Saccharomyces cerevisiae S288C: one gene and its partners. Changing the gene in region 2 together with the main gene of any one other region gives a genetic interaction. Each region holds a gene or a part of one and is shown on either strand. Other genes may lie near its edges.

Region 1 (3,552 bases), on a different chromosome or scaffold from region 2:
TCTTGTCGAGGCTGTCGGAGAAAAGAGTAGCACACACGACGATAACAATAGATACGGTAGATTGGATGGGGCACAGATGTGCAAGGCAATGCGCGAATCCTGTCTACGATGTCTGTACCGTCCATCCTTTCTCCTTTGCATCGGAAACATCCGCGCTGTCTACCTTAGGAGGACCTCATGGGACGGGCGCTGGGGACTCGTGCCCATCCGGGACTGGGGGTGAGATTTCACAACGGGGCCGCTGCTGGTCTCACCCTCTGGCCGGGCCGGTCCGTTTTTGTGGCGTCGCTGCAGGTAAACGCGCAGTTTCTGCGCGTTTACCCCTGAGGTGAATACCATCTTCAAGCGTCAAACTGCATCCGGATATCCTGCTGTTGGTAGCGATGGTGGTGGTAGTGGTGTATGCTCTTGGTTCTGGTGGTGTCTTGCGTCTTCTCTTCTCTTTCTGTTCGTTCGGTTCGTATATAGGTATGTATATATAATGAAGGATGGAAGATCCTTCATTGCAAGTGGGAACGGCCGGCCTTGTGGTCAGTGTTACTGTCATTCTCGGGATGGGAGGAAGCCGGGTCATGGCCCATGGTTTGGAGCAGTTGGGCCAAGGCAGACTGGGGAAGAGTGTAGGTGACTTTGTTCCCGTTGCTGTCTGTCTTCACTCCTCCTGTAGCACCAAGTAGCGCCTCCAAGGATGCTAGATCAATGGGGCCGGAGGTCTTGCTCTTGGATTGGCTGGAAGGGTCAAGATTTTCTGCATCTGTGTCAGCGTCCGTGTCGTCTATGTCCATTGGATCGTCGTTATCGGCGGCAGTCACCGAGGCCACAGCGGCTTCGTGGTCGCGAGTGAATTTGTCCTGAGGTTTCTTCGTAGTGATAGCGAACACCTGTTCGTCGTTACATTTGGAAAAATCGTAGTAACTAAACACCCTTCTTCTCTTGTCTGCAAAAGAACGCACTGATGTGCGGTGGGCCTTGGACTTCATACGGTCGCTCCATTGAGCGACGTCTTCACCTTCTTTCAGCAGCGCGACAACCACTATACTCATGTTGTCGCATCCAATACCCGTCCCCTCTGTGGTGGGAGCACAACAGACATCGATGATCCGCGAAGAAATTTCATTCAATGTCTTGCCTTCGCGAAGGCCGAGATGAACCAAGTCCACACAATCTTGGGAAGTCAAACAATCCCAGATACCATCACAGGCTAAGATTACAAACTCGTCCCTATCGTAATCTAGAGAATGCTCGAGAATGTCCGGAACACATGTCACTATTTGCTCCTCGGGGCCCAATTTGGGGTTGGATTTGAACTCAAAATCACCAATGGCACGAGAGAGCGCCAAGTTACCGTTGACCCTATCCATTTCTACGAAGCCATCAGCTGCCACAATACGTGATTTTTCGCTTGCTAGAGTGGGCTTGTGATCGTATGATAATGCCTTTGCGTTCCCGTCGGTGGCGAGTACGGTTCTACTGTCACCAGCGTTACCACATACTAACAAGTTCTGGGACTTTGATACTAATATGGATGTAGCCGTACATCCGCTATGGTCTTCTTTCATCACAGGATCTTGTAACAGTTTCACGTCTGTGTTTATGAAAGTATCAATCAAAGCCCTTGGTAAATTTCCTTCATGGAACGATTTCTGCTCTTGCAGGATCTCCACTATTTTATTACCACAGTATTCTGCTACTTTAGCGCCACCATGACCATCGAATATACCGTAAAATGCAATATGGTCCTTATCGGACTTTGTCAAAACATTAGGCTCTAGAATGTGTGAATCCTCCATTGACATCCGCCACCCTTGCATTGCACACAGTCCAAACGCGGTCAAGGAGTCAGCACCGGAGTGGCTCTCTTTATCAATTACCGGGTTTGATAGAATTTGTCCCATTTTTCTTTTTCTGGTTCTCTATATTTTATACAACAATGGAATAGTCAAAATCCTAGGGATGTTATTAATCGGAAAACTACTATCTCGAACGAATAGTTATAATTAATCAATGAAAAAAAAAAAGAGAAAGTAAAAAATGTTACAACAACTAATATACACTAATTGTCCTTGATAACAGAACTTGTTGTAGTTTTATTCCGTGGGGAGGAGGGTGAATTTTTTTTATTTAGTTTTAAAGAACAAAACAGAAGTCTATATACTTAGCACTATAATATCCAGTTTCAATTTGCTCTGTCAGAATCCGAATTGGCTGGTTTTCTTTGTTTTACCATCCCCTTCCATTTATCAGCATGATATTTTTTTTTTTAGAATAATCCTTTCAATCGTTGAAGTAGTTTGTGGGAAAAAAAAAGTTGTTAAAGGCATTAACGTACACAGTGATTTGCTGACTCATTACGATTTTTCACTCATCGAAGTATTGTTAGATTTTGATATATTAACATGACTAAAGGGCTATGGTCCATCGTAGCAGAAGGCAATCATCACTTTAAAACCGAGGCCACAATCGATAATTAGCACTGATATTCTGATTGGAAAAAAGGCAAAAAATGACCGCTTCCATCAAAATTCAACCGGATATTGACTCTCTAAAGCAATTACAGCAGCAAAATGACGATAGTTCCATAAATATGTATCCCGTGTATGCGTATTTGCCATCATTGGATCTGACTCCTCACGTGGCATATCTAAAATTGGCACAATTGAACAACCCTGATAGAAAGGAATCATTTCTGTTGGAAAGTGCTAAGACAAATAATGAATTAGATCGTTATTCATTCATAGGTATCTCGCCACGCAAGACCATCAAAACCGGTCCTACTGAAGGCATTGAAACAGATCCTTTGGAAATTTTGGAAAAGGAGATGTCTACCTTTAAAGTAGCCGAAAATGTTCCTGGTTTACCGAAATTAAGTGGTGGTGCTATTGGTTATATTTCTTATGACTGTGTTCGTTATTTCGAGCCAAAAACAAGAAGGCCTTTGAAAGATGTCCTAAGACTTCCAGAGGCATATTTAATGCTTTGTGATACCATTATTGCCTTTGATAATGTTTTTCAGAGATTTCAAATCATTCATAACATTAATACCAATGAAACTTCGTTGGAGGAAGGTTACCAAGCTGCAGCACAAATAATCACTGATATCGTATCAAAGCTAACCGACGATTCCTCGCCAATACCATATCCAGAACAACCTCCTATTAAATTGAATCAAACTTTTGAATCGAATGTGGGCAAGGAAGGTTACGAAAATCACGTCTCCACTTTGAAGAAGCATATTAAGAAAGGTGATATTATTCAAGGTGTGCCATCGCAAAGAGTGGCAAGGCCAACTTCGTTACATCCTTTCAATATTTACAGACATTTACGTACAGTGAACCCATCTCCTTACCTGTTTTATATTGATTGTTTGGATTTCCAAATCATTGGTGCATCTCCAGAATTGTTGTGCAAATCGGATTCCAAAAATAGAGTCATTACCCATCCAATTGCTGGTACTGTCAAACGTGGGGCTACTACTGAAGAGGATGATGCTTTAGCGGACCAATTACGTGGCTCGTTAAAAGACCGTGCAGAACATGTTATGCTGGTAGATTT
Region 2 (3,103 bases):
TCCCACCACCGTCCAGTGATCTTCACATTTTGTTCTAGTATTATGATTTTGATGTACATTTGATATTTTTTTATGTTTTTTATTTAAAAAGTAAGGGCGAAAATGTCTATTATTAAAAAAATATTAAGTACTTTACGTGCTTTTTAATATCGTTTTTTATTGATTATGTATCTTTAATGGGTTATTGATTTTTTTTGTTTTCTTTTTATATAGTATATACGCTTGACGTTCCGCGCGATTGTTTGTTATTTATAGTGTCCTTCTTAATTAGATTTTTCGTCGGCGTTATTGTGTACTAAATACAGAGTATCAAGATCTTTGATCTCATTAGTGACTCTTAAGGAAGCGCCAATATTATAAAATGAAACTTGTTTACCCTCTTTCAATTTGCATAGTTGAAATTTGTCATTAGAACTTGAATTAGTTAGTGTGCTAGATTTCACGTTTAGCTGGATAGACAAATAGTCCATGGCCCTACCCACAGGCCACATTTTGTTAATGTATAATGGCATTCTTGTATCCTCCTTGGCTATATCCGTCTCATCACCATCCACCAAGTAACACCAAATGTAAATCCTATTTTGCATAGGAATCTTGGGGTCACCTTTAGCAATTTTCTTGAGATTAGCCAATTGAATTATCTTATTCGACGAGGAACCGAAATTCTTTTTTGATTTGTTATTGCTCTTTCTTTTCTCATTCCTTTGGAAGAACTTAAATATTTTGTCTAATGTCTTTGAGTTCAAAGTAGAGCTCACTTTGGCAGTGTTAGAACCTCTCAAAGGCTCTCTTGTTTCACTTACTCTCTGGATTCTAACACTGGCCCTCTCAGGTAACAGACTCTTGAAATATGCTTCATCGTTAGAACTTGAGCCATCCCGGCTTTTGCTAGGACTTTTTTCAGTTTTATGAACTTCTTCATGCTCTAGCAACCACCTACAGTGGTGATCTTCCTTAAGTCTATGGTTCGAGCAGAAATCTTCATTGCAAAACGAACAATGGAAAGGTAGGAAGTCTAGTTGTCTACAATATGCACAGTGCTTTCCTACATCCAACATTCCGGTTTCTTTTTCGATAGCCGCCGACATTCTTAAATATAGCAAAAATTAGTTGATGGTCCTTTTTTTTATATCAAAATTAATGCAAGCTCTTGCAGTAGATGTACACTACAATGTGCCTATAGCTCACTGTTGTCACACTTCCGCCCTAGCTCGAGTCCTTGCTTGTACAAGCTCTTATTACATCTTTATACTCATTTGTAGAACATGCTTTTGCCACCGAAAGGAGGGTGAGGCAGTTTTATGTATATACGAACGTCGCTGGCCACGAGGGGGGAACTTTTCTTTTTATCGGCATGAGATAAAGGGTAGATACGAAATTAGCTAGACATTTAAAATATGAAAGCAAGGAAATTACTAAACTTCGAGATGTTCTTTTCCTTAAACTTCTAGTTGACAGCTCAACATTGATGATAGGGCTTATTGTAGTACCTATTTTATTTGCAATAAAGGGCATAGTAGTTGGCGTGCAAAAGGTAAAGAAAAAGTTTGGAAAGCACTCAAACACAAAGGACCAAAAAGAAGACAAGGACGAAGATAAACGACAAAGTATTTCTCAAAGAAAACAGCATACAGAATGGCCAATAGAGGAGAACCGGATCCAAAGAAGAGCACCGAATCAATCTGCTCTCTGACTAAACCGCAGCTTTATTCATTATATGATGATGACGTCGTGAGATCGGAAGATAACGAAATTTACGAAGAATTGAAACGCTCTGTCTCTATAGATTCTACCAAATATAGTAGAGATCAAACTATTGATTCGACTTTTTACTTGGCCCATAAGGTTGGCGGCTCGCTGCCAAGGAACACAGTATCTTCTAATAATTTGGAAAGGATTTTATCAGCATCATCCATTCACGAAAACTTTCCGTCAAGAACCAGACAAACTCGTCAAAATATTCTTCATTACCTGCAAGCTGTATTAATTTTGTCATTGAGCGGTTTCGCATATCATGAACTGTCCAGAAACTTGCACGATAATCATCTCTTACATCCAGATTTTGCATCGAGACCCCTTCTACTGGGTGTCAAACTTTGTAACTGGCTATCCAATGGGGTTCTGCCAAACTGGTTAGGCTACGGTGTTGAAGGACTGTTATTTGGTTCTGTTGTACCAATTCTGGATAATATTTTTCAAACAGAGGTTGTTAAGAGCTCTGTCCACCATGACAGTTTGACCTCTGTTATTAGAAGTATCAATGCCATGTTGGGAGTCACATTTGGGATCAGGAAAATACAGTGGAACTCCTCTTTGCAGGCGGCAGGGGCATGGGGGCTTCTGAATATTATACTGTGGTTGTTTTTTGACGGCTCAATATCCATGTTAATGAGCTGCATCTGCATTGGGGTGGGTTGTTGTATCTCTTGCTACAAAGATATTATCGACGGTTCCCAATTTTTATATTTCATGGATTTTTATTTCCTTGGTTCTCTAATGTTTGGAAAACTAGGAAGATATCTATATTCTCATTAAAGTCGAAATTCTGACGAGTAAATATTATTAATTAGAAGTACAAGAAGATAACATCAGAATGGCTTATCGTTTATATATAACTAATTAACGTAAACACAGTCAGCCATATGGCTGTAACACTTGACATTTCGAGAAATCACATAATAAGCGTTAAATATAAGAGACCCTTCTCTTTCCCTAAAAAAATATAAAAAAGTACAGGTTGTCTATTTATCTAATGGGTGATTCAGTATACAAACTGGACGACGAAGAGCTGTGGTTCCCCACTGGCGTTGAACTTGTACTACCACCTCCAATAGTACCGTTATTAGACGATGGTGGTCCACTCGATATACTTCCCTCCTTTTGTATCAACGTCGCATTATCTACTACACCAGCGGTTGAGGCAGTTGACGGACAAGTGCTTATCCTTCTTTTTATTATATCTTCTCGTAGTTTGCTGGGATTTGTTAATGGCAGGTTATTCTTTCCATAGTTTATTGGATCATTGTTTTGAATGCCAGCTTTCTGCAAAGCGTAATCACCACTGTCGAAATATTTTCTTTTCTGCATGGTATGCTTAAAAATA
Region 3 (3,415 bases), on a different chromosome or scaffold from region 2:
ACACACACACACACCTTCTTCTGGATACCGTAGAGAAAGGGATGTAGACAAATAAAAAAGGACAAAAGCTAGAAAAAAGACGGAAGAGGACGTGCGATTGCGTTGAATATGACCTTCGCAAATAAATATTAATAAATATGACGTTTTTGCCGCAATGCTAATTCTATAACCCACTCCTTCGTTGCCTTCTATGCTTTAATTAAACAATGGGTCCGGCTCAAACCTGGAAGGAAGATTTATAAATCTTGAAAAGAAAAAAAAGTGTGATTTAAAAAAATGAAAAAGAAAAACAAGAGGGCAAAAAAAAATGAACTACTTATTGAGACATGATTCAAGGGAAAAGACCTTCATATATACAGATTACTTTTCGAAATGGTCAGCCGCTTCATGAGCTCTTCTTGGCTGTATCGTACCACCGTGGTTCAATTAGGCAAGTATGTTGCTAAGATTAATTGCTGCGGCGCATCGTATAAGGTGATATACTAAATTCATTATCATCACTATGCATGGGTGTCATTATTATTAACATGGGAAATGGGCCCACTCCCAAGGACTCTATCGTCGATATATAGACAGCACGATTGCCCAGGAGTTATGGCACGTTGTTTTGAGGCTAAGTGTATTGTTATGTCGAGGTTGTCGGCAGAGCGATTCAGTTTGCACGATTTAATTTGGACTGGGACCTGCAGGGACCGGAATTGTAATGTCAAGGCACCAGTATTTTGGAAAGCGTTTATAGTGTCCTCCCTGGGGCCCAAAGACGAAAAGTTTTCGATTCGCATAGTGTCACTGTATAGCGCCGGATTATCTCTTCCTCTGACTATCAAGATTTCGTTGGTATCCCTTAGTTTTTCACTGACAAACCAGGTCCCTTGGTAATTAGGGTCAGCTTGTGGCATGGATATGCCCACTTTCTGTCCAATTGTGTAAGACCACAATCCATCGTGTCTGCCCCATGTCGTTTTGGCACCGGATTGTGGGTCAACGGTAATGATATCACCCGGTGAACTGGGTAGGTAGTGCTTTAAAAAATTCTTGAACTTCCCATGCTGGGAATTGTTGACGAAGCATATGCCCTGTGAATCAGGCTTTTCTGCAGTCGGGAGGCCTGCATACTTCGCTAAATCTCGTACTTCTGGTTTCGTTAGATGGCCAATGGGTAGCAACAAAGATGACAAAACAGTGGAGTTGATTTGTGAAAGGTAATAGCTTTGATCCTTGGGCCTATAAATGCTTCTCAGTAAATGGAATAATCCTTTTCCATTCATTTCCTGCATAACTCGGGCGTAATGACCAGTAACAAGCCAATAGTTACCCGTCCCATACTTCTCATCCAGCCACTCTCTCAGCTTGCCGAACTTGACGAACTTGTTGCAACCGATATCTGGATTGGGTGTCGACCCTTCACTGTAGCCTCTCAACATTGGTTCAAATACATCTATCCAATAATCTTGCTCAAAATTAACTTTGTCAACTCGGATGTTCAAATGCTTAGCGACACGGTTCACATCTCTCCAATCCCTCTCGTAGCATGGCTCCTTGCCAGGGTCGTCCAAAGATTGTGATTCAGACCAGTTCTGCATATATACTCCTCGGGTATTTGGAAATTCTCCGGCAAATAGTGCTGCCGCCACAGAGGAATCTACCCCAGATGACATTGCCACTATCACGTTGTCAAACTTTGCCGGTAGCCGCTGTGGTCTGTACGGTGAAGCACTCCTCCGTCCTATTAAATTTAAATATCTTGCCAGCATTGTTATCTGACTTGAATCGATTGCCAAATCAATACGCTCACATTTTTAACGTTCTTGTATGTTTCCAAACTTTCATTCTTTTACAATAAAGCAATGTTTTGCCTCAACTATTGAAAGAAAAAAATAAGAGACCAATTGTTACTACCCGGCGCTCTTAAAATTTTCAAGCGATGAGATGAAATTCATACAAAATGGCTTTACAGAGAGTTACTAGTACTTCACTAACTTCCTACTGCTTGAAGTAAAGTCACTAAAAGTACTTTTGTCATTTAAGTTACCACCACATATCTCTTTAACCTAGAATATGGCAGGCGTGCAGAAAAGAAAAAGGGATCTCGAAGATCAAGACGACAATGGAAGCGAGGAGGACGACATCGCCTTTGATATTGCAAATGAAATTGCCTTAAATGATAGTGAGAGTGATGCTAACGACTCCGATAGTGAAGTTGAAGCTGATTATGGTCCCAACGATGTCCAGGATGTGATCGAGTACAGCTCAGATGAAGAAGAAGGAGTGAACAATAAGAAGAAGGCTGAAAACAAGGACATCAAGAAAAAAAAGAATAGTAAGAAGGAAATAGCAGCATTTCCAATGTTAGAAATGTCAGATGATGAAAACAATGCATCTGGTAAAACTCAAACCGGTGATGATGAGGATGATGTCAATGAATATTTCTCCACAAATAACTTGGAGAAAACAAAGCATAAAAAAGGTAGTTTTCCCAGCTTTGGCCTATCCAAAATTGTATTGAACAATATTAAAAGGAAGGGATTTCGCCAACCCACTCCTATTCAAAGGAAGACTATCCCATTAATTTTGCAAAGTAGGGATATTGTTGGTATGGCACGTACCGGTTCTGGTAAGACTGCAGCATTCATCTTGCCAATGGTGGAAAAATTGAAAAGTCACTCAGGTAAAATTGGCGCCCGTGCAGTCATCTTATCGCCTTCCAGAGAATTAGCCATGCAGACTTTCAACGTTTTCAAGGATTTTGCCAGAGGAACAGAACTAAGAAGCGTCCTCTTGACTGGTGGTGATTCCTTGGAAGAACAATTTGGCATGATGATGACCAACCCAGACGTTATTATTGCAACACCTGGTAGATTTTTACATCTGAAAGTTGAAATGAACCTCGATTTGAAGAGTGTTGAGTACGTTGTTTTCGATGAAGCTGATAGGTTGTTCGAAATGGGTTTTCAAGAACAGTTGAATGAATTACTTGCATCTTTGCCTACAACAAGACAGACTTTGTTGTTTTCTGCTACTCTACCTAATTCATTGGTTGATTTTGTTAAGGCTGGTTTGGTTAATCCAGTTTTGGTTCGTTTGGACGCGGAAACGAAAGTTTCAGAGAACTTAGAAATGCTTTTTCTATCCAGTAAAAACGCAGATAGAGAGGCGAACCTATTATATATTTTGCAAGAAATCATAAAGATTCCGTTAGCCACTAGTGAACAACTTCAAAAGCTGCAAAATAGTAACAATGAGGCAGATAGTGACTCAGATGATGAAAATGATCGCCAAAAGAAGAGGAGGAATTTCAAGAAGGAAAAGTTCCGTAAACAAAAAATGCCTGCAGCTAATGAACTTCCTTCTGAAAAAGCAACTATTCTGTTCGTTCCAACAAGACATCATGTGGAATACATTTCTCAACTCTTAA

The links. Genes that interact genetically often act in the same process or in processes that back each other up.
Region 1: mutations in NSG2 (region 2) and PTC2 together harm fitness more than expected from each alone (negative genetic interaction), as found in Saccharomyces cerevisiae (2 studies listed by BioGRID).
Region 3: mutations in NSG2 (region 2) and SLM3 together harm fitness more than expected from each alone (negative genetic interaction), as found in Saccharomyces cerevisiae (2 studies listed by BioGRID).

The regions. Positions count from the first base shown.
Region 1 is NC_001137.3:335,446-338,997, forward strand, and holds PTC2 (type 2C protein phosphatase PTC2), read right to left. Parts: upstream 1,896-3,552; coding exon 501-1,895; downstream 1-500. Other genes in the region: anthranilate synthase TRP2, read left to right, coding at 2,504-3,552. UniProt on the Saccharomyces cerevisiae protein: Dephosphorylating regulator for many key proteins. Dephosphorylates the cell cycle master regulator CDC28/cyclin-dependent kinase 1; its activity appears redundant with phosphatase PTC3.
Region 2 is NC_001146.8:340,501-343,603, reverse strand, and holds NSG2 (Nsg2p), read left to right. Parts: upstream 1-1,635; coding exon 1,636-2,535; downstream 2,536-3,103. Other genes in the region: CUZ1 (Cuz1p), read right to left, coding at 264-1,088; YNL155C-A (uncharacterized protein), read left to right, coding at 1,469-1,693; IGO1 (phosphatase regulator), read right to left, coding at 2,746-3,103. UniProt on the Saccharomyces cerevisiae protein: Stabilizes the HMG-CoA reductase HMG2 by preventing its HRD1-dependent degradation. Binds directly to the sterol-sensing domain (SSD)-containing transmembrane region of HMG2, promoting its folding to protect it from degradation.
Region 3 is NC_001136.10:392,159-395,573, forward strand, and holds SLM3 (tRNA-5-taurinomethyluridine 2-sulfurtransferase), read right to left. Parts: upstream 1,755-3,415; coding exon 501-1,754; downstream 1-500. Other genes in the region: ATP-dependent RNA helicase DBP10, read left to right, coding at 2,059-3,415. UniProt on the Saccharomyces cerevisiae protein: Catalyzes the 2-thiolation of uridine at the wobble position (U34) of mitochondrial tRNA(Lys), tRNA(Glu) and tRNA(Gln).